4 linked regions of the Caenorhabditis elegans genome follow. The protein of the gene in region 4 interacts with the protein of the main gene of each other region in a pairwise test. Each region holds a gene or a part of one and is shown on either strand. Other genes may lie near its edges. The genes, in order: rpn-12, jun-1, rpt-2 and nhr-6.

Region 1 (6,051 bases), on a different chromosome or scaffold from region 4:
ATAAATTTCGTGTTTTCTAATTTTTTTTCTAGTAAATATTTCACAAAGGTTGTTATATTTAATTAATTTTGATGTTCATTTTTTCGAATAATAACGTTTTCAATGTTAAAAGTGTGTAAAACTAGAAATAAAGTTTTCTACAGTAATCTTAAAGGAACACAAAACATTTTTTAATAGATGCAGGGTGCGCGGCGATCCTTTTTCGCATTATTTTGAAAAACAAAAAAAAACCTTAGCCTCTCCTGCAGCATTCGTCTTAAATTTCTCCTTATTTCCCATATACCAGGTACTCAACAACCAGCAAGCTTCACCATCTTCCAGTTCACAGGCTCTTCTCATGTATCGTTCAGCCTTTTCTGAATCAGCTTTCCGATCTTTTTCTCCATTCCAATGAACAAGTGATAAATATCGACATCCTTGTGGAATATTCGCATCACATGCGATTTTCATCGGTCGAATCATTTTTGACAGACTTGCATCGTCTCCAACTTTTCCGGCTAACATGTACATTCCGTACTTGAAACATGACTTTGGATAACTGTTCTCGTCACAGTTCTTCTTGAAAATCGCTACGGCCGCTTGAAAATTTTGTTGCAGAGCTTCCATGTATTCGCCGAGCAATTGACAGGATTCTGGCCTTTTTTCCTGAAAATTTAACTTCAAAGAAAGATTGAAAATTCAAATTTCTCACTTCGTAGCATCCAAATCTGTACTCAATCCCAATATTTTTCACATATTCCGCCCTTTCGGCCTGTTCCTGCATAGCTTCTTCGCTTATTTTTCCAGACATCTTCAAGTAAAGTGAATTAGCGCATATTCAGAAGAAATGAACGACCGATATTGGAGTACGAAATCGTGATGACTCATTGGGTAAAGTTTGATAAATCGAAACGAAGAATCATTAAAACATTTGACTTTCATTTGAAAATGTTGGATGACAAAAGGGAATTACAATACCGAAATTATGTCACACAAAATTCGCTGAACGCGACGAGAATTTCAACGAAGTGCCTACCAGTAGCGGGTGACAATCAGCACATGGAACTGAATGTGTTATTATCTTAAATATATAGACAAAGGGCAATCGAGAAGGCGATGAATACACATTCTTGGAAGAAGTGTTAATAAAAAAATTAGGCTGATAGGAGCAAGAATATAAGCTTTACGGAAATGGGGGAGAGAGAATAAATTAATTTCTGTTGCAATTTCCAGTGACGGTGATCAGAAGTTATTGGCATGGGTAAGATAATTATTCCTCATCCTGAAATAATTAAAAATTAAACTTCTAATTATCTACGTATGGAAATAAACTCACGAGGTTGCTGAAAATAAAGTTGATAGCGGCTTCCTCGTTTTTGTCACATGCGAAATAAGCCTCCACAACCACAGCTTCTGGTGCATTAACAACTATGGCTTTGATTCTCTCAATAGCAGCAGCTTCTTCGGGACTGAGATGGATAACATGGCGACGTGGGGTGTTTCTTTCTGGCGCATTTCCTGCAGCGGCTCCGGCTCCTTGAGCTCCACCATTCAAAAGATCCATGAAAGCTTGCTGGTTGTTCTGAATAGTCTGAACAAGTCTTGGGTTGACAGCAGCCAACTGCTGAAGGACTGCGGCGAGCATTTCAGGATTTTGTTGAATCAAAGCTCTAATTTCTGCAAGCTGTGGCATGTTTGCAAGCATGTTAAGATCGTCATTGCCATCCTCATCCACGTTATCGATGTTTTGCTCGGGCCCCAAATCTGGTTCTTGGTCAGCAGCATCATCAGGAAGTCCGTTGAGAAGAAACTCGACTGCGCGGTCTGGATTCCAGAATGCTGCGCGCAGAGCAGCGATAGTTTGTTCACGGTCATAGCCCATTCCAGTGATTGCGAGAACGTTCTCTTCTTGCTCATCCGTAAGCGCCTCCGCCTCAGCAGGAGCAGCAGCTTCAGGAGCAACATCGGCAGCTGGGGCTGGGTTTGACGCAGGAGCGGCAGCTACTGGAACAGGCTCAGCAGCTGTGGCAACGGTAGATGAAGGTGCAACTTCTGTGACTTTCCTTTTGCTGAGCATCACAACAACGAACTTCGAAGAATCGAATCCGACTTCTCCGACCTTCACAGAATCGTCGAGAATCTAAAAAAAAAACATACTTTAAAGATATTATGAGCCTTCACTGTAATACCTTTCCGTTGTAGATTAATTTTTGAAGTTCTGGAGCATAATCATCCCCTTTCTCCGAAGCGACCAGAGCCTTTACTTCCGCAATCTGAAAGAAAAATAAAATACAAGTCGAACATTAACTCTAATCTTACCGTCTGATCTTCATTCAATTCCAAATTGAAGTTAACTTGTGTGAGAGTCCTGAATGTAACGGACAAAACCATCCTGCAAAAAATTGTGAAATGTTACGAATAGAGTCATGTATTGAAAGAAAAAGAAATAAATATCGATAACAGATTGATATTAATGCAAAACAAGCAGTATATATGTATAAAATAAACAAACATTTGATTATTAATAAAAGAACAAAACAAAAAAACCATTTTGAAGAACAAAATAAGTGGTAAAAAACAGAAGAGAAAATGGCTTGGCGTCTTAAAGGCGCACATGATTTGAACACTCTTCGTGGCGAGACCTGCCAGAATTGTCATTGTGTCGATTTACGGAGAATGCGTTTATTTCTTTTTTGAATGTTTTATTTTTATTTTTTAACTTCACTTGTGTTTATCGTGAACTTTTATCTTCGATTTTATCAAATTAAAACATTATTGGATTTAAGAAAATGTCTGCCGCCCATAAAAATCTTCTGGCTGTGTGGGCAAAGGAGCCAAAAGATCTTGTCGCAGTTGAGAAGGCTCTGAATGAGTTGACGGTCAGTTAATTGTTTGTCAAATTGTAAATAAATTGAATTTTCAGAAGGTTCTCAGTGCCTCCAGCGATTTGAATGATAAACAGTCTGCATTGGCTTCAAAGTAAGATTTTTCTTTGGTGTAATGAGTTTAAATTATTAATTTTCAGAGATTTGTACGAGATTTCGGTGCTCTTGGCAATTCTGAAGCACGATTTCGAAACGTTCGACGATTACATCAATCAGGTGAGTCTTTAAATAATTATTTGGAAAATTTATGTAATTTTTAACGATCTGTAAATTATTTTTAATTTTCCAGATGCATACCTACTATACAATGGCGCCAGAAAATTCTGAAAACAAGCATTTAATGACTGGACTCCATCTGATGTTCCTGCTCGCTGCCAACAGATTGTCCGACTTCCACATGCTCCTCGAACAAATTCCACAGAAAGAGCAAACATCAAACGCTTACATCTCTACGCCAGTTCGTATTGAACAGAGTCTCATGGAAGGAGCCTACAACAAGGTTGTGCTCACCGAGAAGAATATTCCAAGCCCCTTCTACACTATTTTCATTCGTATTATGCTTGACACCATCCGTCGCGAAATCGCAACATCTATCGAGAAGTCTTTCAAAGTTCTGACAGCGAAGGATGCCACGGTCATGCTTCTGTTCGACAATGACGAACAAATGAAAAAGTTTGGACAAGAGGTAATAATGATTTTTAAAGCTACAAGTATTAAAAAATATATTTATTTACAGAGAAAATGGCATTTGGATGGAGAGCGTTACGTTTTCGAAATTGAGGTGGCTCAGGAGAAGCCTGTGAATTTGGATACAGTGCGAGTCGCAACTCAAACCCTCTTCTACGCCAAGCAACTCGAACAAATCGTTTAACCGGTGTCTTTCAAGAACTCAAGCATTGTATTTGTAAACTGATTTTAATTTATTCGCGTCTTTTTCTCGGTACTGTAAGAAAATGAACTTTCCGATGCATTGTTTTAGCAAGTTTTAATTACATCTGAAAATTTTATTTGCACAAAGATTTCTGGAATGAACAAGAACATCTATCAATATGATATACCAAAAAAAGAAGTTGGAAAAATTCGAGAAAAAATACATAGAGGGACAAAATACAGTGAATTCGAGTGTCTATTGTTTTCAACAATATATACAGCTAGATGAGTAAAAAAAAAGGACGAAAGATTTAGTAGATTCTGAGAGACAGATAGATAAAGCGTGCCAACTTGGTTGACTCCTTTCCCGTATTTTCTGATTACCACACAACACAGCGTTTCGTTGGATTCATCGGAGATCCAGCTGGACATTTGAAAGCCTCGGCAAATTCTGGCTGATTTGTTAGAACCGTGTTCACTCTGAAAAAATTATAAATAATTGTTGCCAAAAAAGTTGAATGAACGATGATGTGTATTGCGTAACATATTTTTGAATATCTTGTAGCGAAAACTACATGTAAATAGTAAATCGTCTACTTATGGAAATAAACTCACGAGGTAAATCTTTAAATGACTACTGTAGTGGTTTCGATTGTTAAACGAAAAATAAATAAATTTCCGAGCCCGTAAATCGACACTACAGTAGCCCTCTAAAAAGTTACTGTAGTTTTCGCTACGAGATATTTTGCGCGTCAAATATGTTATGTAATACGCATTCTCGGAATTTAGTGTTTCAGTAATACCTTGCAGTTTCTGGTGAGTGAGGATCAGTGAGTAGCAATAAAGTCTTGGTCTCTGGCGTCTTGGCTCCACACCAAACTTGAGCATATCCAACGAAGAAGAGCTGCTCATTGGTGAGACTTTCAAATTGTGGAAGACGAGCTTCTTGGCCTCCGTGTTTCTCCAGATATGACTTGTAGGCCTTGAAAGCTTGCTTGATTCCACCATTATCTGCGATATTTTCTCCCTGGGTCAACTTTCCATTGATTCGGAGATCAGTTCCACGGAGTTTCACATCAGCGTACTGCTCGATAATGCATTGGGTTCGCTCATTGAATTTGGAAGAGGTGGTGTTATCCCACCAATCACGAAGATTTCCGACATTGTCGAATTGACGTCCGGTATCATCGAATCCGTGGGTGATCTCGTGTCCAATAACTGCACCAATTCCTCCGTAGTTGAGAGCTTTCGGGAAACGAGCATCAAAGAATGGCTGTTGAAGGATTCCAGCTGGGAATGCAATAGCATTTCTTGTTGGCGAGTAGAACGCGTTGACAACAGCAGCACTAGAGATGAACTCGAATCTGTTAACTGGCTCCAGGAGTCTGCGATAATAGAAGTTGTTACGCCATTGGATGCTCTTCTCGACAAGCTGACTGAATGAGTCCTCTGGTGCTCCCTCAAGACCCTTGTACCAATCATCAAGTTTCTCGTCGTTCAGAATAAAGTCTGGATATCCGATTTGTTTAAGCATCTGATCAGCTTTCTCCAATGCATACTTCTTAGTTTCAGCGTCCATCCAATCATTTGCATGCATCATGTTTCGGAAAGCCTCTTGAAGATCTGTGATCATGTCGAGTGTTGTGTTCTTGGCATTGGCATCGAAGTACTTGCGAACATACATAGATCCTGAAATTTAGTTAAAAGTTAAATAGTGTCACCTAAAAGATCTACTAACCAGAAGCATAGCTAAGTTTTCCACCAGCACTGCTGACACAATCCTTCCAGCGTGGCTGTCTCTGCTTTCGTCCGTACATTTGGAACGCGAACTCTTGTTGCAAATCCTCATATTTCTTTCCAATTTCTTGGCTCCATGATCCAGCCCAACGAAGGAGGATGTAGTTCGTGACAATTCGTGGATCAGTGTTTTGAAGTAGTGTGTTCATTTTTTGAAGATATTCAACGTCGGAGATAATGATGCTTGGATTGGTCTTGAGGTAAGAGTGAACCAGGAATGGAGTGGTTGAAAGTGTCAGTTTCTTCCAGTCAATCTGAAAATTTAATTTTGATATTAAAAACCCTTACTTTTCTCTTCTAAAATATACTTACGATTGACATATATTCTTTCAAATCATCAAATCTTCTGACATTATAGAGCTTGGTGTAATTACGACGATCCTCTTCAGCAACAAGAATCTGAGCCCACTCCTTCTCAAAAGCAATGATCTCATCAACATCAGACTCGATTTTCGACTCATTAACAGCCATTCCAGCGTCTTCAGTGTAGTATCTAACCTTTCCAATTGTGTATTTACGG
Region 2 (7,331 bases), on a different chromosome or scaffold from region 4:
AGATTTACTGCTCCAATCGCTAAAATCCGAAGTTTTTCGTCATATCGCCCGTTTGCATTGTGCTTTCATCGAATTCTGAATGAGATTCTCCACGACCAAAATGACATCACAACAATCTACTTCCACGTATTCTCTATGAATGGATGCTCTTTGCTCGCAGCATACTGGGATCAATTACAAGATCTCGAGAATGGAAAAGAAGTTCTTTCAAAATCCAGAGGACTTATCTTCGATAGTTGTCCAGCATTCACTAGTCCATCTCAAAGTGCACAGGCTATCTCGTTTGCCACACTTCCACCGAGTCATTACCACGGAGCATTGAGAGGATCATATCGAGCAGTTCTTTATACATTCTTCTCATTTCATAGAGGAGTTTTGTGGTTGAGATCATTCTTGGAGAAGGATATCTACGAGAGACACTATGCGTATTTCAAAATGATAACATTTGACAATCTACCGGCGAAGCAGCTCTATATTTATGGACCTGCAGACTTAGTGAGTTGAATTTTCAAAATAAAAGAAAAAAATAGGTATTCTGAAATCCAAAATTGAAAAAAGCTAAAAAGCTTCTTTTTGTTTACACTTCCTAAATTTTTTGCTAGTTTTTACAGTGTTTTAATTGTTTTATTCTAGATTCTAGAATCTAGATTTAACACATTTTTAGCTTAACAAATTTTTCCAGGTTTGCTCCGAAGAATCCATCGAAGAATACGCCCAGTTAATGGAGCAACGTGGTGTTTCAATCTCAAAACTTCGTCTTCTCGATTCTTTGCACTGCCAACATCTCCGATCTCATCCCGTGACGTACACTCAAGAATGCCTAGACTTTGTGAAATCAGGCCATCTACCAGCGAATAGAAGTCGTGTGCCGTTAGAAATAACTGAAGAAGCTGCACAAAATGATGTACCTGAAGAGCTTGCCTACTAGATTCATATCTATAGATTTTTATTGTTTCTCTTAATATTTATAGATGGTAATTCGCATAATTACTTATATATTAATTGACCGGTTCTTCCCATCTCCTTTCCCAACGTTCCATCTCTATGTCCCAGTTTTATTCGCTTTAAAAGCTTTTGCTTGATACTATTGACATTAGATATAAATTATTACTTTTTGAAAGTCCCTGCTATTACACGAAAAAAAGTTTCCTTCCTTCTAAAAAAAACTAAACTAAAAACAGAATCTTGGAAGCGTAAATATTATTTAGATGAGGGGCTCCTTATTACGTATGCCGGTGCGTGCACTTTCTATTTTCTTCCTTTTTTTCTGAATTTTTTATTTTCAGCCAGGCGTTTCCCTTTCGACGTAATTTGTTCTCGAAATCACCTGAAATGTGAATGGGTGGGCAGAGGAAACACAAAAAAAGAGAGAATTCAAATTGATTCTGATGTGATGCCATTTCCACTAATCTCTCAATTCTTACTCCCACCATTTTTTTGCAATGATTTCCGAATTTGTGACTGCTTTTTCGTTCCGATTTCATTTTGATGACCGTGTACAAAAAGATGAGCAGACAACCATAACGAACGCGAAATTGTATGGAATCGTGAGAGACATAAGTATGATTAGAGAAAATACGAAGTTATCAATTATGAGTAGATACTACTGTTGATATTGTAAATTGGAAAGTGAATCACAAATCATGACTATTGGAGACCAATGAAACACTTTCAGATTTATGTTCGAAACTTCGTACCCAACTTGGTTCCGAAATTGGCAAAACTTGGCCAATTCCTGGTTCACGAATGTACAATTCAAAAGCCTCTAGATATCAGCACAAATAAGCCAAATAAAACATGAAGTTAGTAATAATAAAAGATAATTAGCATCGATCGTGTTAGGCCGAATGACTATTCTTATGCAAATTACGGTGTTTCTATGAAAAAATTAAGTGCAAGTGCCGAAAAAAATCTACCAATCAAAATTAACTTTGCAAATGCGATACAAATTCCCAAATGCAATGAACTGATATCTACCGTACTTTCCAAATGGTATGGTACACGGTATGTTACCTTGAATAAAACTTGTTTTGATATCTAGACGAGTTGTTTGGTATGCTGAATAACATGGTAAAACAGTTCAAAAAATTAAAAAATGTTTGTAACTGTAGTCAAAATCTGGCTATTACTAATAATATGTTATCACGTATTACAAATATGAAAGATCTAGGACCGAACATGCAAAAATAGTATAAATTACTTTGAAAAAAAACCTTTTTTTTGCATTGTGCCAAAAACAAAACCTCAAACAATTTCAAAAAGAAAATCAAAATATGTTTAGATTTTGTAAAAATGATCTAGAGTATTTCTGGTCTAGTTGAAGTATGTGCAGACAAAATTCTCGAATGTCATAATCGAACACTCCAGAGTAAAATGTTCATTAACAGTTTTAGTAAATTGCCAAATTTTCCAAAAAATGTTTTCTGGTCGACTTCCAAAATTGGATTTACTGAAACATGAGTTTTTATTACTCTCGGTTTTTATTAATTTGAAAAACCGGATCAGAAAGCTTCAAACCCCTGCAAAAAACGTATTATATTTTAGTTATTATTGGGTGCATAAACAAGATCTATGGGTAAAAGACTAATGAGGTCAGGCCTAAAAAGAATGAAAAACAAGATGAGCTCTGAAAAAGCCAATGAACTTCCAAAAAGATAAGTGGCTGATGGAAAGGCAAATACAGAAGTCAAAGGAGCGGAGAGAAATGAGGGAAAAGAGACGGAGAACGTGAAGCAAGCACACTGACACATTATTTACGGTAACATTTTTCTGCGAACTTTATCCATTTCCTCTCTTTCTCTCTCCATTTACCTTTCTAAATGTCAATTGGGTGGTGGAAAGAGAGAATGAAAAATAGAGAGAATGAGAAACTTCTGGATTCTCTCAATTTTCAATGTTTTCTTTCAATGTTCGTTTGTCTATCTGCGTCTATGGATGTCATGGATCTGGAAAATAGAGAGAAAGAGATAGAGATAGAAAAAGAGAGAAAAAGGAAAAGAACGAGTCAGCAGAGGAAAAGAGACAAGAGTGAGTGTGCGTGTGACTCATTCTCGGGGCCCCCGCCGACTAACCCCCATCGCCATCGTCGTCAACCGATTCGTCATCAACTTCTCTTCCTCTCTATTCAATTCTTATTTGTCAAAAGGTTTTGAAATCAAAATAAAACAAAAATGGAAGAGGATCAAGAGGAACCACCATCCTCATCAACATCATCAGAATCTCCAGAAGTTGTTCTAAAAGCTCCAAAAGCTCCAACTCGAAGAAGGAAAAATTCCAAAAAGGGTTAGTTTGTTTGTCTAGTTCAAAAGTTTTGGAATACTTGATGATAAACCTGTCACAATAGGAAATGGACAATCATGGTTACAAAACTATAGTTTCACTACTATCAAAATGCCAAATTACAACTACCAAACATTTGTGATCTCGTGATTTTATCGTTAATTGATGAAGTTGTTTGTCAAAACATTATATCAATTTGTAGATCTATGTTTAATATGAATTCTTTGAACCCATAAAAAGTTTATGACGCGTGCCAAAAAAAACAGGTGGTTGTTAAAATTGTTTTGTATTTTTCTTAAATGATTTGTAAAATTAAATCATATTGTTTCTTACCAAATTGAAAGTTTTTCTATGCAACAATTTCCTTTCAACTGGACATAAAACACTTAAAAATAGAGTAAACGGTATAATCCTGGCTCCGCCCACTTTTATGAATGTTCATCATTACATTTTAATCATCACAAAAACTACGAGCGAGACTCTAATTCGGAGAGAGACGCAGTGATCGAGAAAAAAAAATCGAGTTGACACGTGATTTTCGATTCCAACGACGCAGCTACTGTAGTGATCGAAGCGGCGCACAGCTTTTCCCGCCCGTTCCATCTGGCAACTGTCTGCGTCTCTTCGTCTTATATGGTCTCTTTTCTTCGAACTGTTTTTTGTTGATAAACGCATATGCCTAGTTTAGCGGAAGTGTAGAGGCATTAGGGTTAGGATCTAGGAACTTGAAACTATATATATATATATATTCCTAGACCATATTCTGTAAACTTGGTAAATTTTTTGAACTTTCATTAAACCTAAATTCTTGATTAATATTTAAAATTGCAATTAACGGTAAAACTATGTTTTTTTGGAAAATCTCTACCTCCTACTCTAGCTTGTCCCCTAGCTTTACTTTGAAGATTTGTATTATTCAAATCCTTCAAAAAAAGCTTAAATATATTATGGTATACAAATCCGACAAACCTCATTTCTCTAAAACCTTCATCTAGAAATTTAACATATTTCAAACCCGACATTTTTTCACAAGAACTACCTAATAAATCACCACAATATGTCTCTCCGCCCTCTCTTGGTTTGAGAGCAATATTTCATTGGTTCGACCTGATTGTGCCAAATGATAAGACTAACAGCTGTTCCTTTCGGAAGTTTCATTATTAGCTCATCAGATCATTTTAGTACACTATTTGGGTTTTTTAAGGTTTTGTCGAAATTTATAGTTAGGTATTTTGAAAACGTTCTTCGAAGTCATATTGACAAAAGTACAATACGAAAATACAAAACACACTATAAGTACAGAAAATTCAAGCAAAAGTTCAAACAATGCTATTTTAAAATTGATTTTGAACGATCGAATGCTATAAAAAATCTAAAATGATCTTACAAATGGCTTATCCCGGCCCTTCGCTTCTCTATTTTACGTCGAATTTCTCGTTATCAAGATTTTTGCAAAGAAGATGTTTAAAAGTTTGTCTTGAAATTTTTTTTAGCTACGTGAGCTGAACTAATTTTCGATGCGTTTATTCTCGAACTTTGGTTTCTTAATTTCCATTTTATCCAGACATATTTTGTTCATTCGTTCTATCCGTTCCCATTCATTTCTTGGAATGAGTCATCGGGCTTTCGTAAATGTTTTGACACACACTTTGCCCCTTTTTTCCTTCCCATCTTTCAGTTTTTAGGCTCTGATTTCTGTTCCATAACATGCATGGGTAATGAGATGAAAGAGGCTATGGCAACTCTTGCGAAACAGTCATATGTTTGATGAAATATTCAGGCGAATCTCTGTTAGTATTTGTTCTCATTTTCTGCAGAAGTTGTTTCAATTTTAGAATGGAACCTGTAGGTAGTTAGTCATTTTGAACTCAGTTTTAGCTAGGTTACCCATAGTAGATCTATCTAGAGAGGTGCATCCTCAGGATCCACTGCCTGCCTCAAACCTACCCGCCCCTCCTGGCTTCATATTTTTGATTCAACGATGTTTGGCGCTCGAATTGTGTTAACTCATGAGTTATTAATATTTCTAGGCACAAGGCAGGCAAGGGTTGCCGTGAAGGCAAGCCAAGTTCCGATGAGGCGCATGAAGCCCTAGTTTCAGCCAATTCCCATCAAACCTGACACTAATCTTTAAAGAACATATTCATGACGTTCTGCTCGTGGAAGACTGATCTGCTCTAATATTTTCTTTTTGATGTTTATCTCTGAGCTTTTCTGGTTCTCTAGTTTCATCTACATTTTCTGTTAGAGAACATCTGAGAATCTTTTTCTTCTTCTCTTTTTTTCACTTTTTCTATTTTCCCACCATCATAAACACAAATTAAAGAACGTGCTTGGATGGAGCATTATGAAAGTTTTTCACTTTCCTTTTTCGTGTCGCGTATTCAAAAACTTTAAACAACATTTCCCACCAACTTTTTCTGCTAATCAGCGTAGTTCCAAGAACATCGTTAACATGTTTTGTTAATCAAATCTAACACGCGTTTCATGATCAATTGATGTTTGTGTTATGAAGTTATCTGAAACATTTTTCTTCATATATATTGAATCTATTTTTTTGTTATGCTTTTCTCGATTCCCGCCAATTTAGGATATATTCTTGTTGGAATTGTACTTCCTAAATGTGCTGATATTTTGGAAAACAATTATTTTCCGGGTCTTTTGATTTGATCTATGATTTTGCAGTGGCTGAATTTTAAATAATTATCAAAGAAATCATAGTTTTTGTAAATATACCTAAAGAACATAACCGTATTTTAATATGGAATTGATCAGAAAATAATCAATCAGTTGTTTCAAGAATCACCAAGAAATGGAAATTTATAATTCTCTATCCTACCAAAAATAGAATCGATTTCAAGTTTTTTCACATAACTAGAAATTTTAAAATAACCACCAGAACCACAGTTAAGGTAAATGGAACACAAAGTTGACTGTAAGGGGTTCGAGGGACGAAAGGCGCCTCGGTCACGCCTCGACCGAGTGGAATGCCTACTAGAAGCACAGCATCAGAGACTGTTCACGACATTTAACAGTTACAGTGATATGGTAAATAACGAATTAGCAATATAATTCTTCCCGTTTGTCTTGAAATTGTAAGCAATTCAGTGTGCTTTCAGTTCATCCTGAAATGTCGGGTTGTTGAGTAGTGAGTCATACTCGCTTATCACCAAAAATGGTTCTCCACCTCCATCTCATTCTCTCATCGTTTCGTTTCGTTTTCTTCTTCTTCGTTTTCCGATTCTCATTCTTCTCTATTTATTTTGTGAATCGATGATGAATAACTCGTTTGATATGAATGTGACACAACATACCAACTCTTCACCATGTAAGGGTTCATTTTAAGAGTGACAGTTTCATTTTCAAATGACACGAATACCAAAAGACTAATTCCAATCTCTGAAGTATTAAAAGTTAACTTTCAGATCGGCGACAGGATATGGAAGTAGATGATGGCGAGAAGGAAAGCACAGCACAGTACTGTAAAGGATTTTATGGTGAGAATTTTGAATATTGAAATGAATGGAAATTTTAAAATAAAAAAAGAAAGTCACAAATTGAGAACTCAAGAATAATCGTTTGCTGATCAAATATTCAAAAAATGGAAATCACAAAGTAAAAACGTCAACAAAACTGTTGTGTGACTGATAAATGAATGTCTTTCTCATCACAATCAGAAGGTGGCATACTACTTTAAAACAATTGTACCACTGTTATGACTGGATGGAAAATGAAAAAAAAACTAACTTAGATATACATAGTCAAGATTTTTTTAAAGTTTTCACCTGAAAAAATTAATTGATTTCAATTTTAAATTTTCTGCACGCCAGAATATCATTAATCCTACACCTAGTACCACAAATTTTGAAAAAAAGTAAAAACTATTTTGAACCGAATTAAGACAAAAGAAATACTCGACAACTTGCCGCAGCTAATTCAGCAACTTCAAAAGAAAAAACTCAACTCAATTGACTTATAAAAGTTACAATATTTTTTTTGGGGACTAATTTTCATGAATAGTTAACAGCTCTTCCTAAGCAAAAAAAAATAAT
Region 3 (6,381 bases), on a different chromosome or scaffold from region 4:
CAGCTGACAACTTGCTGGCCCAGTTTTGACTATTTCTATTGGAATCTTCTTAACTCAATAACAGAACGTTTTCATAGAAAACAAAATTTAAAATTGATTGCAATGTTCTAGATTCAGAAATGCCGGTAAAAAATTCAAAATTTTAAATATTTCAGAAAACAGTTTTGGGCCTAGTTCCAAGAATTTAGTAGTTTTTATAATTAACTTTCAAACATTTTTTAACTTATAAATTCACTATGATTTGCAATATATTTCAGTTTCATTTTGAAAAAAAACCACACTTATAGGTTTTTTTAGACTTCAAAATAGGAAGTTTCAACATTGTATTAAAGATAAATTTCACGATCTATTTTCAGCAAGTAAATGACTTCAAAAATAGCAACGACAAAAAAATGGCGGAATGCAACAACATCCGAAATAAGCTCAACAGTCTCAAAAACTATTTGGAAACGCATGATTGTAAACTGAGTCGCGAAGAACGAACACATGAGATAAATCGATTGATAATCCCACCATCAACAGTTCCACCATCACAACCATATCTTCAACATTCGTTGAGAGTTCATCCACCACGTGCTGACTCTGTACCATATTCTATTCGATCAGGACATTCATCTTCATCGTCTGAACAACACTCACCAGTTGAGGACTATAAGCCTTCAATTGATCAATTACTTCTTCCTCCAATCTCATGTATTCAAAATATCAAAGATCGAAATATCAATTCTATGCCACCACCAGCTTTACCGGCAAGCACGAGTGCTGCTGGAATTCATGTTATCACTTCTATCCCGGTTTCGCATGCCAACTCATTACACGGTCGTTCGGAAAACGTTTTCGCAGAACCGGAACGCAAAGTGAGTACATTCATTTTAATTTATTGAATCTTTTACATTACATTTTACTTCAGATTCCAAAAATCGAGTTGGACCAAACACTGACATCATTGACCATGCCAGACGACGTTGAACGTCCGTCAGCTCTTCCGACGCTTTCCAGAATCGTTGAAAATCAGCCGATCACTACTCCCAGCAGGCCTTTCCGTCTCGGGGGGGAATATCAAAATCAAACACCGCAGAGTACAGGGAATGGACTATTCGGAGGCCCACCAGGTAGTTTATTTAATCGGATTGTAGCCAATGAATAAAAATTGTATTTTTTACAATATTGCAATTCTTAATCCTAAATCTGAGTCTCATCGCGAGCAAAACTTTTCAGCTACCGTACCCGAGCTCTTCTAGTTTCTACCAATATTTTCACGTGGTGTCAGTCTGTACCATCACGGGTTGATCTACAAAAAATTCGGGAATTTATTCCCTTAAAAAATGTGACGCCATCACGTTCTTAACCATGCGATACTTGAAGTATGCGTCTAAATTCCCGCGATTCTCGGAGATCAAACCGATATAGGACACTCTGACACCACGTGTATTTTGAGATATCAATATTGCAATAATCATACAAAAATTGGAATATTTTGAAAAAACTCAACGTTAAATATAAAAAATGTTAAAATTGGAACTACAATTGCGAGTACGGTAGCTGGAAAGTTGTTGGCGTGCCAAGACCCAGAAATTTGCATAATTTTAATTCAAATGCCGATATTTCTACAATATACGAAAATTTTCTTAAATTTTTCCAGTTTCATCCCGGGCTAAAAAGTGTTATTTTTATTTCTCAAAATATAATTAACGATTTTCATTCCAGGCCCATTCGACTTGCTTTCCTCCAACACTGGTCTGACACCTTCTGGTCAGCCAACAATGAACTTCGTTTCAACTCCAACCCCGATTCAACCACATCCGGATGCTGATCTCCGACCACTCTAGATTCCGATTCAAATCATTTTCTGTAGCGTGCATTTGTAATTTTCCCCGTCCAGCTCTCATTATTACAAAATTTCATACAATTTCCCGATTTTCTATCCAATTTCCATATCTTTAAATTCAGCCAGTTCTCTCTTTTCTCATTATAGTTTCACTTTTAGCTACTGAAATTCCCCCAACTTTCCGTTTCCAATTATTGTGATAAGAAATACATTCAACTGTAACATCATTTTCTTATTCTTCGAAACCATCAACTTCTTCACTGGTAAATCTTCAAGTCGATTTTCTCCATTTTTTTCTTCTTCAGTTTCATTAAATTCATGAACTTTCCTTACCAACCATCAATCCCAATGTCACATAAACGAATATTTTTCATCATGAATCATTTACCTCAATCAATCCAGATTTAAAATTACATTAAATCGGTTTTTGTGCAACGGGACGTTCAAAAAGGGAATAAAATAAATTGGGAAAGAGAAAATACAAAAAAAATAAATAAAACGGGGCACATTTACAAATAGAGTTCTTCTGGAGCTCCTTCCTTCTTACGGTAGAGCACATTTTCTTTGGACTTCTGGAAATCTTCCATCGTGACACGCATACGACGCTCGCGAAGAGCTAAGAGACCAGCTTCTGTGCACATAGCCTTGATATCAGCTCCACTCAACTCGTCCTTTGCTGTGATGAACTCTTCGAGGTTAACTTCTTTGCCGAGTGTCATTCGAGATGTATGGATCTGAAAATAAAAACTTCATATAATGTTTAGAAAAAATTGTTCCAACCTGGAAGATACGGCGCTTCGTTTTTTCATCTGGCAGGGGGAATTCAATCTTACGATCAATACGACCTGGACGAATGAGAGCAGGGTCGAGAGATTCGATGCGGTTAGTGGCCATCAAAACTTTAACATCTCCACGGGAATCGAATCCATCAAGTTGATTGAGAAGTTCAAGCATAGTCCGCTGAATTTCACGTTCTCCACCAGAGTTCGAATCGTAACGTTTTGTTCCAACAGCATCAATTTCATCAATGAACACAATTGATGGTGCATTCTCCTCAGCAACGCGGAAGAGCTCACGGACCATCTTTGGACCATCTCCGAGGTATTTCTGAATAAGTTCCGAACCAACAATACGAAGGAAAGTAGCTGACGTCTGATTAGCAACAGCCTTGGCAAGTAGCGTTTTTCCAGTACCAGGACAACCGTATAGAATAACTCCCTTTGGAGGCCGGATTCCCATCTCTTCGTAGTATTCAGGATGAGTCAGTGGAAGCTCAACTGCTTCTTTAATTTCTTGAATTTGCTGATCAAGACCACCAACATCGGCATACGTTTCTTGTGGTGCTTTTTCGAGCTTCATGACAGACACCATAGGATCTGTATCATCGGAGAGAACTCCGATGACGGCGTGATTCTTGTGGTTGAGAAGGACTGAACATCCCGGCTCGAGTTGTTCCTTGTCGACGAATGACATGATGTTGACGTAATGCTCACTTCCGACGTTCTAAATATTGAAATAAGAAAATATTATCGATATATTGATTCTTACAGTTGAAACAATGGCGTGCTGATCATCGATAATTTCCTCAAGTGATCCGACTGCCATTGGTGTTCCACGGAGCTCGTCCACCTTGGCGCGCTCTTCTTCTTGTCTCTCCTCTTGTGGCTTCAAACGCTCCTGGTTTTGAATGAATTCTTGCTCCATCAACAAATAATCCTTGATTCTTTCGCTCTTCAGCAACTTCAGACGGCATCTGGCATGTGGTGTGACTAAAACCGAATCATCAGTTAAAATACACACTAGATTGAAACTTACCAGCTGGAAGTTTGCTAGCGGCGTCAGGTCCCTTAGACCCCTTCTTCTTCTTTCCAATCCTAGATGGAATCGGTGCCTCATATTTCTTCTTTTCCTTCTTCTCTCCATCTCCGGCACCGCGGTCATTTCCTCTTCCACCGAAACCTGACTGTTGTTGCCCCATTCTAGAAAATAATGATTTTATATGAAAAATAATAAGTCCACGTTTGAAAAAGAAAACAATTGAAAGATATAAAATAAGTAGAACGAAGAATGATTTAAAAAAATACAGCGTTGATGATGACAATGCAAGCGCGCTCTGGTGAGAACTAAACAACGCGCGGTTTCGTATTTTCGGAGCTTCGTTGTTTTTATTGACGAAGCCACATGTCTGTTTTATTCAGAAAATCTAATTTTTCAATTGATTTTTAAGTATTTTCAGCGTTTTAAAGTTTGCAAACGATTGTTCATACTCTTGTTTTCAGTAAACATGATGCAATACATGCTTCTCTTCAGTCGCCAGGGCAAACTGCGGCTGCAGAAATGGTACACTGCTTACCCCGACAAGGTAAGTGTATTTCCTATTCATATGTGTAATTTCACACTCAATTTTCAGCAAAAGAAGAAAATTTGCCGCGAACTCATCACTCAAATTCTGGCGAGAAAACCGAAAATGTGTGCGTTCCTCGAATACAAGGATTTGAAAGTTGTCTACAAACGGTTCGTATTTTATATTCAAAAGTAACAACTCCCATTTCCTGTCATGCCTTAAAATTGTTCCTTCTGAAAATAACTTACAAGTTTATAATCAAAATTTCTTGAAAATTATAGTTACACACCTAAATCCGAAGTTATTACGTTTTTTATTCATGAAAAATATTTTGGCGTCAAATTTAGTTGTTTAATAGACATTTTTGTGATAAATGAAACAAAAACTTAACAATTCGTTCAATTTTTAATCTCAACAATTTCAGATACGCGTCTCTGTATTTCTGCTGCGCCATCGAACAAAACGACAACGAGCTCATCACTTTGGAAGTCATTCATCGTTACGTAGAACTCCTCGACAAATATTTTGGAAGTGTTTGTGAGCTGGATATCATCTTCAACTTCGAAAAAGCTTACTTCATACTCGACGAATTTTTACTGGCTGGTGAAATCCAGGAAACCAGTAAAAAACAAGTTTTGAAGGCGATTGCTGCCCAAGATCTCATTCAAGAAGAAGAAACTCCACAAGGATTCTTCGAGGATCACGGTTTGGGATAATGAAGATAATAGTAACATAATTTATTGACTTTGAAAGCTTCCGTAAATACCAAATACTTCCACCTTACTTTATTTATCCTGGCTATGTGTCTGGTTGTGATAATATTCATGTGAATAAGAGAAGAAAACATTCATTTTTCAATCTTCCATTATGTATTCTTTCTGTTAGGAAACTTCAATGCATGACTTGCATTATTTCTACACTTTTTTCAATTTTTTCTTTAAAGTTTTGAACTTTCTCAGGTTTCGAAGCGGATGATTATCACAACTCCGAGACGAGGTGAGCTAATGTGAATTTTGCCGAGTTTCCCGCACATGAGTGTAAAACACGAACAGGGGAAAGGTGGATTCAAGGATAATTCAACGGGGGGTAATATGCGAACGTTGGCAGTGTAACATGTCAGTTCGAACGGAATGAATGTAGGAATGATTGGCACCTCTGCCGGAATTGTCATTTGTTAGATTACAAAGCACAATGTTCACCTTCTTGTTGGTGTCGAATTTCAAAATATCATTTATCTGAAATTTCGATAAGTATGATTAAACTAGTCAAAATTGTTTCGATCACTTCCGTTTTCTCAAAGTTTAATCATTTTCGTACAGTAGATGTTTGTGTCCTCTTCATGTTTTCTGCCCAATACTTCTTCCTCTTCCCATCCACTATACTTTGCATTGTTTTTGGTTTTACATTGAACAAGGGCAGTGAAGGCGGAGACAGCGGGAAATGTTTCCGCGCGGATTCACTCATTCTCTCAAGTATCCATCAATTTGCTCCAGCACACACTTGTTCTTTCACCTAGTTTTTGAGTCGTAGTTAATTTTTGATCTAAAATCTTGGCAGAAAGCAGAAGTACGCATCACATTATTTGAATAAGTATTCGCATTTTCAATATTCGCAGTCCATGAGACCCTAGAAATCATAAACAAACCTCGCTATTTTTTTCAGTCTTGAAAATCAGCCAAAGAGTTGGTTCGAAATAACGCTTCCCAGTTGCTTTTAACTTTAGGAAAGAACGATTTCAAGTAATAACAATAAATGTATATAATTCAACGGAACTCCATTTTTCACTTGGTAGATTTAAATTAGCTTTACGTGGTGCATTAAAAATAATCACATGTTGAAAATCGATAATAGTTTTTCCTAATAGCAATGTACAAGTAATTGGTTTTTGTGGGTACGCAGAACTAAACCAGGTTTTGTTCTCGCAAGTTGCGACGAAAGTGTGAATGTTGGCACCCTGCCGTGTTCACTTCTTGTTTCCCGCCAAACGACTTGCAATTTGAGGTCGTACTCTTACTGGCAAACCTTTATTTTGCAATTGATGACAGAACCAAGCATATTTGCAATTACTATAATTCCAGTTCAAAATCGTAACCTTTTTTTTTTAGTTTTTTGGAAGTTTTCACACCTATCAATACTCTAAAAACAGATTAGACACTTAATTTTGCTACACAGCTGCCCAGATGGTGCAACCAGTAAAAGGTGCGAACAG
Region 4 (10,135 bases):
CCTCTGCATGTTTCTAGTGTGCTCCCGAATAACCGTTTAATTAAAACTTTTGTGGTGTACATAGTTTTGAATATGACTCAATGATCTGGACCCTTCCTCTTCCTGTCCATTTACCACACCCCTAAGGTAGTCACTAAACTCCCTCCAAAATGATTCATAAGGTTATCAGCTGTTGAAGCTTATCGGAACAAAAATTACTATCCCCGTTGACGCAGTATATATATATACTTGCGGTTTGAAAAATGATCGTTCATATTTCTTCTTATCGTAAACTTATTAGAAATGTTTATTTTATTGAAGTAACCGAACATTACTTTTTGTCGCTCTCCATAATCTTTTTCAAATCCTCTCAAAAACAATGTTATTAACCATGCAAAATCAATTTAGAACTCTGCGTCTCTCCTCCCGCATTTTTTGTAGATCTACGTAGATCAATCCAAAATGAGACACGTGTAATCCATGTACCGCGACCTTCAAATTTCTAGCAACCTGTATAACCAAACGTATGCGATATTAATAACACTGACGTCTTTTTTTGTGATGCAAAATAAAAATCATCATTCCTCCTATCACGTTCAAACTCGATATTTTTGTCCGAAAAACGAAAAAAGGTCAGTGAGTCTTTATCAGTAGTATTGTAATTGTTTCCGAATTCGGAAGATCATTTGATGTCATGAAACGTAGTTTTGAAACAGTCTCGATGAATGCATTCAGTTGAGGTGTGTTTTGTGCCAAATTCTAGGTATAAACTAAAGTTATAGATTTCTCAGCTAAAATTAAAGGCAGACTAGTAGTGTAATTCTTTAGATGTTTTAATCCCCTTACGAAAGCCCAAATAGGAGGGAATTTCACGAAAGTGCCGCACTTTCAGTGTGGCCAAGTTTTGACCTAGCATTCTGAAAATAATCTAACAAATAGTTTTTACTAGTCTATAGGGCCCTGCGGTAATTCATGGAACACTGATGTGCGTTCATTTAGCATGCTTCTTTTTGATTTTTAAATTCTAATTCGAGTTAGCAGCTAATTTACCACGTGATGTCAGGCTGTCTCATTACGGTTTGATCTACAAAAAATGCGGTGTTTTCTCTCAAAAAAAAAAGTGACACTCTAGAGATTCCCACAATTCTCGTAGATCAAACCAAGATTTACAAGTTGTTGACTACTTGCTGCACCCAGGAGGTCTATAACTATAACTCATCTCTTATCAATAGATCAAAACGTTCAACTCACCTTCCACAGTCCAGTTCAAACTACACAATGACATATGAATTGGGGGGGTCAACTGTTTCCTGTAGATTCCTACATACTTCAGTTTCATTGATAAGAAGCACTTCGTCACCGAGTGTGGGCGATGTTTACGTCAGAGTGCTGGACAGTATCAAAATTAGTCACTAGAGCTGGAACAATGACTTAGTTCTGAGCTATTACTCACTTATGAGACACATGCACCGTCGCCTTCGCCGTCTCTCGAACCTAGTGGCTTTGATCTCTGATAGAGCTTCACGCTTTGGAGTAAACTATCTACAGACTCCCGGTGCATTGTGTGTCTTTGATCGTGTTATCATTCGTCTCCGTACAAGCGTTTATCAGTGGTTTCTTGCTTTTTACAAGCACTTCATCACGTCACTTTATTTTATTTGTTTCGTAGGTAAAAGGGGTGGGGAAATGGGACGAAAACCGTTTTAAAGCGGAGGTTTTCAGATTTTGAGTCAGTTTTTCTTGACCTTCTTGGCGAAAAATTTCTAATTTTATAATACATTTGGGGGTTAGCGAGCCTGCTTCCAAAAAGTATGAGAGCAAAGGATAGGTCTACAAAATTGCCCCATCTAACTTTTTTCGTTTAAAATTAGTGTAAACTATAGAAAATGATGTACCTGATTATTCGAAAATAACAAATATTTTAGCTGAAACATATTAGAAAATTCTCAAAAATAACCTGGAAATTGCCATTCATCCATTATCGAATTGTCTAGCAATTGACAACTTCTAGGCTATTTTGAGCATTTATTCAAATGTTTTAGCTCAAATAAATGCTATTTTCAAATTAATCAAATAATCAAATCAAAATATTTTGGTCTCATTGCACCTGGTGCAATAGGACATTTTTTAGAATTAACGCCCCTCATTTCTCTCAAAAACCGATTCCTCGAAAAAAATTTCCTAACTCAAATTTTATCTACAGTCTTATGCAACAGTGCATTGCGAAAGATTTCCTAATGCTCCCACAAACCGCAAAATTTTTTCTCAACATGTACGTTTTTCTTGTAATTTACAGCTTCCTTCCTACTATTTAGCATATTTTTCCAAATATGTTTTCTGATACGCCTTGTTACTCACAGGAGCTAGAACTAGATAGACAAACCAATTAGAACATCCCCCCGGAGGTTTGTATGTTTTTCGGAAAATGATCCATTGTTCAGATCAGTTATGATGTGTCGTGAGATGGGCGGGAGGAAGTGATATCATAAGTTCCCTTTACGGTTTCTGGTATATAATAATGCTCATTTAGTCGTAGAAATTTATTGTTCCGACTGTTCCGGAAAGATAATTTTTCTGTAGATCATTTATGCAAAAAATATTTTTCACTTTTGCATTAGTTTTTGCGTAGCACCCAATTTACCGAACAACTCTCCTTATCATGAAAATGCCCTTGAAATGACTAAATAATTTCACCGGTGCACATACTTTCTATTTTTTCCTTTTTTTCCATTGTCTAGAGCAGCAGCTGACGCAATTTTCCGACCTTTTCACACTTCCCACTCTGCATGCATTTTTGGATTTAAATTGTCTACGTACAAAATATCTTGCACCTGTGATGAAGTCACAAACTAGCTCAGAGATTAATTAGCTCTAGACATAGATGCTAACTGATGGGTTTGCAAGTACCTATGCCTACCTGCGTGCCTTCAACTCCCCTAATGCAGATAACAGTAGCCGTAGGTCAGTTGTAGGCACGGCAGCAGGCATAGAAGTTAACTGTTACAGTAACCACTCACCTGTACATTGGGATCTCCTCATTGATTTTGAGAGCTGACCTACATAGTATATCGAAGCGATTCGATCGCTAAACTCTGAGCTCACAGAATTGGAAACAATGAAAAAAAGGCTGATTCTGCTTTTAGAGTGACCACTTCTAATTTTAGCCGGCCCGGTGGTGTCGTCAAAATTCCTTTCCTGAAATTACGTAGATAATCAAGGCGCGGGCAGGTGAATATTCCATTCAAGACGGGCAAGAACACATGTTGTTGACTTTTTTAGTGTTGCTGCTCGATCAGTTGTCACAGTGTCAAATCACCTGCACATGTGCATTTTTAGGTGCTTCTGATGACGCGCCACGAGCTGCTACTCCGCCTTCTCAATTGTTTGACACTATATAATTCCCGATCGTCTCTCTCTCTCTCCCACTCACCCAATCTGAAAATTCGTTAAAATTCTGAACATTTTCAGATTGACCACTACTAGAGCTCTTCTCTCACTTCTTCTTCATCTTTCTTCATTCAAATCTTACAACTCCTTATATCGACCGCTCATTAATCGGATGCGCGGTCTGTCCGACTGAATGGAACAACTTAGTATTCAAACGGACGAGTTGCAAGATCAGGTACCCTAACCTATTTCTTTTTTTTTTTGAGTAGGCGAACTGGCAGGTGTACCAGAAAAACTGTTAAAGTTCGGTGGAAAAGATATGTGGTAAATTCTATATGTGGTAAATTTTCAGTTTTCCAACTGCTCGCCAGCTTCTGTCGATAGTAGCTACTCATCCTGCTCCAGCGTGGAGGACGAAGTAAGTATTCTTATTCTCATCTTCTGGAAGCCTAAACAAGATTGGGCTTATGCTTAGGATTCGGCTTAGGATTAGGCTTGGGCTTAAGAATTATAGAAAAAAAAATACAAAAATTGCACAATCCCAAAAAAACAGAAAACTCAAAAATCATGTGCCCAGAAACAACGGAAAATGAGATATTACAAAATCTGGCAAAAACTTTAATTTAAATTTTATTTTTTAAGATCGAAATCTACACACGCCTCGTGCGTAACGAAGAACCTCTGCGAAGGGACTTCTTCCGCGAGATGTCGAAAAACTCTTCGTGCTCCTCATCATTCGACTACGGTAATTCACAAAATTTCCATTTCTTCCTAATTATTGGTTTCAGGAGAGTTTGGACCATCTTCCTCGTCTCGCAAAGGCTCCAAAACCACCGATGCCGACCTCGACAGCCTTTTCCATTCTCTTGTGGTGAGCTCTTTTTCCAAGAACTTTTTTAAGATTCCCATGAAACCTTTTTTTTCAAATCTGTGGGAGAAAATTGGTATAATCCTTTTCTGAGCTATAATTTTTTTGAACTTTTTTCCGGCGGTAAAAAAAGGTGTGAGTGGGAACATGTGAATAATATCACCCGACTCCTCGTTTCCCACTTCATTTCAAACTTGGCATCCCCTCTCAACACAGTCATTGTTTCCTGTCGAATCACCCTGCACTTTCCCAACACATTTCGTGCCCGCTTATTAGAAAGATAATTGGATAGGTGAGATCACTTGTAGAGAGAGCCACGAGTGGTGTTGGTTGGAGAGAAATATTTCTCGTTTCAAATTCATTCTACAACTTTTCCACCCAACTAGTAGTAGTCTTTCTCTTTCTTTTTTTTTGGGTGTTGGCGCAATGGTATTTGCCATTAGTCATAGAGACAGTAGCAGCAGGGGTGGGACCCCTAATGCTAACAAGTCACTTGTACCAAAATGTCATTCATTTATTAGTAGTGTTTCTTTTGATGTTGCTGCTTTCTTTTTTGGCTACTGTAAAAAGTAGACCATTTTAGAAAATTTGGCAAGTTGTTTAGAAGTTTTTGGAAGTCGACTATTTTTTTTCACTCAAAATCAATGTTTCAACCTCTAAAAAATTTGAATTCTAGAAACTTTTTAAAAAAATTCTAATTTTTCCCACTGCTCAAAATTTATGAGAGTCTAGAAATGTAAAAAAATGTATCAAAAATCCCAAAAAAAAAACTAGAGTAGCCCCCCACAAAAATGGCTCCGAGTTTCTGAATTTAGACCCAACTTTTCATTGAAAATTACTGTCAAAATCAGGAATATATGCATATTGATTTATCTGAAAATCAGATTTTGCCCACTTGAACCATTGGAAAAAATGCTCGAAAATGGCCTTTTCAACAAGTATGATTTTTGATATTTTTGACCCATTTTTAGCATTTCTCAATAAAATCGCCCTGCATTTTTAAGGCTTTAGAACGTTTTTGGAGCTCTCGAGATAATTTCTTTATTTCTAGTTTGCTTAGCCATGTAGGCGGTAATTTTTCGAGGACTACAACAAATATTTTCAGCCCACAGGCTCTGCGTCATTTTAGACCAGAGAAGAGTACAAAAAGTTTAGCTCTCATAGCTCTTTTCTTGTTTTCTGCTCCAAAAAAACTCTTAACTTCCTCACATAAACAGTCCGAAAACCCGAAAAATATTTAAATGCTGGCTTAACCTTCAGTTTTGCTCAAACACATACACCCACTATCATCCGGCTAATTGATAGATACACGTGCCATTTGGCTCCCCCTTCAGTCCTCTGTGTCCACACCAAAATTTGGCATGAAACACCCCGCAATTTGTCGTCTTTCTTCTTCCTTTCATCCATCTCGAAAACTCTTTACTTTCGATTTTGATTTGATGGTCTCTCTGGGAAACCTGTTTCTATTATATCCTCAAAGTGTCACCTCTCATTCTTTTTTGGCTTCTGTCAGCGACGTCGTCATCACTCTTAGGTGGTCTCGGGGCGTGGACTGACATAATTCCTCGTGTATGCTCTTTTGTCGCAGCTAATGCTCAGGGCTCTGGACTCCGCCCCTTGAAATTTTCCTGGGCAGCCGCCTAATCAGCTGTTTGATAGAAGCGCACTTTTCATATATTCATACTTACTTCCCCCCTGCACCCTACAGTTATGATGAGCAAACGGACAGCTAGCAAAATTGACAAGCCTGTGGTCAGGCTCGGAGATGATCTTAGCGGACTTATGGGCTTTATAAAGTCTGAAATTGAAAGTTTGCAGGAGACAAGCGATCAGGTGAACACTGTACCAAAGCCCACGAAAACCGAAGTCGAGAGTATCCCCGAAGAATTCGAGCAGGTAAGAGCTTCATTCTGCACACAATTATAAACTTTTAATAATTTCAGAAACCATCCTCCTCCAGTCACCGTTTACCATCCGAAATGAACGCCTCAATCACCCATATCAAAAGTGAACTTGACCCAACTATGCAAGCATTTCAAATGCCACACAACGATCTTTTCCTGGCAACCGCCGCACCGCATTACAATCCATTCGCGTAAGTGTCGTCACAGATAACCACGTGTGAATTACTTTTGCTTCGTGTTTTCTACGTAGTACATCGAGCCGAGGATTAACCTCCATTGAGAGCATAAGCTGGTGCTTCCACGAGAGGATTTCTATTGTTTCTTCTTACAGACTTTCGAATGATTTCATGCCGAATCCCTTGATGCCTTCATTCACATCTCCATTCTATCCTCAACACTTTCCGGTATCGGATTCCAGGCGTGGAAGTCAGGGGACAACGAGCTCGTCGAACAATACCGGCGGAACACCATCGCCTCATTCAAGCTCTCTGCCAACGTCACCCCCGCAGTTGCAAGGCTTCTTAAGGTTCGTTTTTGAAATTTGAAATTTGATATTTTAAATTTGAAATTAAAAAAAAAAGAAAACTTTCAGATCCTTCCTCAACCCCGACAACCTCTCCACACCAACCTCATTCGGTGTCCCATCGGAAACAGCTCTTGACGCTGACAAAATGTGCGCTGTGTGCAATGATCGAGCTGTTTGCCTGCACTATGGAGCCAGAACTTGCGAAGGATGCAAAGGATTCTTCAAGCGAACTGTGCAGAAGAACTCCAAATACACTTGCGCTGGTAACAAGACCTGCCCAATCGACAAGCGATACCGTAGTCGGTGCCAGTACTGTCGCTATCAAAAGTGTTTGGAAGTCGGCATGGTCAAAGAAAGTAGGTGTACCCTTTGGGAAATGTTCATTATTTGTGATATTTCAGTTGTTCGACATGGTTCTCTATCGGGGAGACGTGGACGTTTGTCGTCAAAGACGAAGTTGGCAAGATCAGAGGATCAACCATCTCCACCGCTTCCTCTTCTAGCTTTGATGGGAAAAGCAATTGAAGATCATACAAATATGACTGTTGTCCGGCAATTTGTAAGTCGGAAATTTAGCATTTCTTTTGGAAAATGTTTATCATTTAGATGCAACCATTCGATGAGACTATCGCACTGAGAATCCTGCACGGAGAGCTTCATGCCACCAAGAAGCTTCTCATGGCAATGCCACAAATTTCCGAGATTCAGCCAGCCGACTTCCAGATCCTCCTCAGCAGATCTTTCTTCGCAATCATGGCAATCCGCGTGGCAAACCGATGTGGCAACAGCACCGACACAATTATGTTCGAGTCTGGAGAGCTTTTCTCGTTGAACGCGTTCCCTGCCTGCTTCCAACAAATCATTCGATTCATGGTTGACAAAGCACGAACCTTCAGCTCATTGGTTGACTGGGAGCCTCAGGCATTCGCCGCCTTTATTGCTCTTCAATTTTTGGCTGGAAACACAGGTGTGTAGAATTTAAACCCTAAAAAGCTTCAGCAAAGTTTATCTACTCCTCATTTCATAATTTCAAAATTTTTTCAGAACATAACGTACTTGGATTGACCAACAAACCTCTCGTCGACCAGGTTCAAAGTACCATCATCAATGCTCTCAAGGATCATTGCAGCGGATCTCAGAACAAATTGGCCAAGATCGTTAGATTGGTAAGTTTGTCATTTTCAACGTGTGACGTAGAATCTAGCGGGGAAGCCTTGTAACACGCTTTGAGGGCAAAATTTGCACGCTTCTAATGCTAATCCATGTCTGCCAGGAAGCAAAATTTTTATTTTTTATTGAGGGTTGCACTGAGAGCAAGTATTCCAGACTGACATGCAAGTAGGATGTCTAGTATAACACTAACTATTCAATTTTCAGACCCAAGAATTCGATGTATTCCATGCTCTTGGACTCCAGGCCCTGGACATTCTCTATCCATCACACCAGCTTCCAGAAGAGTTCATGTTCCTTATCAATCTTACACGTGCTCCATTACGATCTACGGATGCACCGCCAGCTTGTGGAAGCCCAGTTGCCCCATCTGGAAGTTCACTTTTTAACTTCCAAATGGGCCCGGCTGCCTTTTAAAATTTTTTAAATGTTTAAAATTTTAAAAATTTAAAATTAATATATTTTTCAAAATCGCTAGCCCCATTGAATTGCATATCGCAAAGATTTCTAATTTATTTTGTTTCCCCACTACTGTCTCAAACAAAAAATCACTTCCAGAAAAATTTCAAATAACTTGTTACCGGTACTTTCCCAACAATTTTTGCTCCTTGAACCTCAAATCTCTCAGAATTTGTCCCCCCATTCGGTTTTTATTTTATGAAAAGCCTCTAGTTTTTGTGTGAATTCCAATCCCCGAATATCAATTTTGTTTTGTTTCAATTTTCAGAGTTTATTTATTTTAACTGATATTTCTTGAAATTATTGTATAGAAAAAGAAAACCATAAATTATATATTTTTACATTGTTTCATTTTATTACAAAGCACCGGAGAGAGAGGGACAAGAATACTGTGGGGAAGGGGTATACTGAAGTTTAGAGAGCAATTCCTGGAGAAAAAGGTCTGAAGCTTAACAAAAATTATTTCGCATTTGTCGTTTGTTACGTCTCATGTACTGGAACGCGGTTTTCAGATCGGTTTTCAGCTCGCAGCGGCTGAATCCACGGTCGTCAATGATGGGCTCCGGATGAGCAAAGTCTGGGCACTTCTTCCCTGAAATTTGAAGGTTTTTCGAAGTGAAGAAGGCATGTGTCCCCTCAAATAGAAGTGTGTGACGTCACACGTTTTAAGGGGCATTGACCTACTGTATCATAATTTACGCGCAAAGTTTCTGTTCTGGACTGTGCTGAACTTGGTTGAACCGCGGAACCCGCGAAACGTCCGTGCAAGAACAATCGGGACATTATTTCCTTTTAATATTAAAGTTTTCAAAATGTTAGGGTTCGCCTCAAACTGTTCTGTGTGACGTCACGGGTTGGCCAAAAGCGTCAACTTTGAACACAAGTTTCTAGTATAAATTTTAGTTCAAAGATAATTGGAAATTATTTTAAGGTGAAAAAGAAATGTGGTAAGAATACTAAATCACCTATTGAATTAATTATAGCTGCAGAAGATCACTGAAATTTTCACGACAGCTGATAATATTTGTTGAAATGCCAGGGAAAGGTTACCTAAAGTTTGTCGGCTTTTTACGCAAATGACAGGAAAATGAATGAAATTTTTGAAATCGCGGGGGTTTTTTGTTGCAGCCGACGTTTTACGGGCACTTTGAGAGGATTCCTAGAAAACATTTTGTTGCAAAATTGTATACTCTGAAATAATGTTACGGGAATAATCCCTTCATTACACTTTTTGTACCTTAAACCTATTCTATGTCTGATCTTTATAATAGCATTACAACGTCTGCACCTATACACTTAATCTACCACCCAATACAATTCTGATCTGTGACGTTTGCCCTCCCCAACTTTAATCTTCTCTTTTGAAAGCTTTTGTATCTGACAGAGCAGGTTGTTGGTTGAGCATTGGGAAGTGATAACCCGGAAATTTTACCTGTGAAAAATATTTTTTTGGGATCTTTAAGGATAAATGTTGCTGGAAAAAAATGGAAAGATGACCGGAAATGTTGTATAGTTTTTTAAAAATTAATGAAACTTTGAATAATTTTTTTACTATTTTAATTTAGTAAGGCACCTCCTAAAATCAATTTTGAGACATTTTAACGTTCGCAAGTTCAAAAAACTTAAATATACTTTGAAATTTAAAAGGTTTAATCTTATATTACTAGTTTCAAGATAAAATTTTCAAACCTCCCTTACAAAGTTTAAATTTTTTGTGCTGTGGGCATTTTTTAAGAAAATATATTTTTTATGCAATTTTGGCAATTTCCAAAATTGTAGAAAATTTATGTTACTTGCAATTGCCGCGCTGACCTCAAAATTTTAGATAACTGTATATTAGAT

The links.
Region 1: the proteins of nhr-6 (region 4) and rpn-12 interact in a two-hybrid assay, tested with the Caenorhabditis elegans proteins (2 studies listed by BioGRID).
Region 2: the proteins of nhr-6 (region 4) and jun-1 interact in a two-hybrid assay, tested with the Caenorhabditis elegans proteins (one study listed by BioGRID).
Region 3: the proteins of nhr-6 (region 4) and rpt-2 interact in a two-hybrid assay, tested with the Caenorhabditis elegans proteins (2 studies listed by BioGRID).

What each region holds. Positions count from the first base shown.
Region 1 is NC_003280.10:11,650,359-11,656,409, forward strand, and holds rpn-12 (26S proteasome non-ATPase regulatory subunit 8), read left to right. Parts: upstream 1-2,765; 5' UTR 2,766-2,768; coding exon 2,769-2,858; intron 2,859-2,902; coding exon 2,903-2,958; intron 2,959-3,004; coding exon 3,005-3,080; intron 3,081-3,153; coding exon 3,154-3,549; intron 3,550-3,600; coding exon 3,601-3,735; 3' UTR 3,736-3,834; downstream 3,835-6,051. Other genes in the region: coa-7 (Cytochrome c oxidase assembly factor 7 homolog), read right to left, coding at 232-645, 692-790; rad-23 (UV excision repair protein RAD23), read right to left, coding at 1,250-1,261, 1,316-2,119, 2,169-2,252, 2,299-2,370; nep-1 (Neprilysin-1), read right to left, coding at 4,115-4,214, 4,538-5,423, 5,473-5,785, 5,844-6,051. UniProt on the Caenorhabditis elegans protein: Acts as a regulatory subunit of the 26S proteasome which is involved in the ATP-dependent degradation of ubiquitinated proteins.
Region 2 is NC_003280.10:9,110,121-9,117,451, forward strand, and holds the start of jun-1 (Transcription factor jun-1), read left to right. Parts: upstream 1-3,036; 5' UTR 3,037-3,170; coding exon 3,171-3,282; intron 3,283-6,496; exon of another isoform or gene 6,497-6,555; coding exon of another isoform or gene 6,556-6,607; intron 6,608-6,704; coding exon 6,705-6,776; intron 6,777-7,331. Other genes in the region: T24H10.4 (Transmembrane protein 53), read left to right, coding at 1-495, 683-928. UniProt on the Caenorhabditis elegans protein: Transcription factor that recognizes and binds to the AP-1 non-canonical enhancer heptamer motif 5'-TTAGTCA-3'. Required for ovulation. Controls plc-1 expression in the spermatheca to regulate spermathecal valve dilation.
Region 3 is NC_003283.11:6,013,863-6,020,243, forward strand, and holds rpt-2 (putative 26S proteasome regulatory subunit 4), read right to left. Parts: upstream 3,808-6,381; 5' UTR 3,807-3,807; coding exon 3,644-3,806; intron 3,598-3,643; coding exon 3,377-3,597; intron 3,332-3,376; coding exon 2,609-3,331; intron 2,563-2,608; coding exon 2,338-2,562; 3' UTR 2,187-2,337; downstream 1-2,186. Other genes in the region: Transcription factor fos-1, read left to right, coding at 357-857, 911-1,112, 1,708-1,829; aps-1 (AP complex subunit sigma), read left to right, coding at 4,113-4,190, 4,239-4,342, 4,597-4,888; picc-1 (PAC-1 interacting and coiled-coil domain-containing protein 1), read left to right, coding at 5,144-5,168. UniProt on the Caenorhabditis elegans protein: The 26S proteasome is involved in the ATP-dependent degradation of ubiquitinated proteins. The regulatory (or ATPase) complex confers ATP dependency and substrate specificity to the 26S complex.
Region 4 is NC_003281.10:3,570,140-3,580,274, forward strand, and holds nhr-6 (Nuclear hormone receptor family member nhr-6), read left to right. Parts: upstream 1-3,441; 5' UTR 3,442-3,559; coding exon 3,560-3,601; intron 3,602-3,711; exon of another isoform or gene 3,712-3,718; coding exon 3,719-3,784; intron 3,785-4,008; coding exon 4,009-4,111; intron 4,112-4,154; coding exon 4,155-4,237; intron 4,238-6,052; coding exon 6,053-6,130; intron 6,131-6,177; coding exon 6,178-6,329; intron 6,330-6,469; coding exon 6,470-6,664; intron 6,665-6,730; coding exon 6,731-7,020; intron 7,021-7,065; coding exon 7,066-7,223; intron 7,224-7,270; coding exon 7,271-7,631; intron 7,632-7,708; coding exon 7,709-7,830; intron 7,831-8,041; coding exon 8,042-8,251; 3' UTR 8,252-8,632; downstream 8,633-10,135. Other genes in the region: C48D5.3 (TIL domain-containing protein), read right to left, coding at 8,743-8,885. UniProt on the Caenorhabditis elegans protein: Transcriptional activator that induces gene expression by binding to the NGFI-B response element (NBRE) 5'-AAAGGTCA-3'. Required for proper morphogenesis of the spermatheca and the spermatheca-uterine valve formation.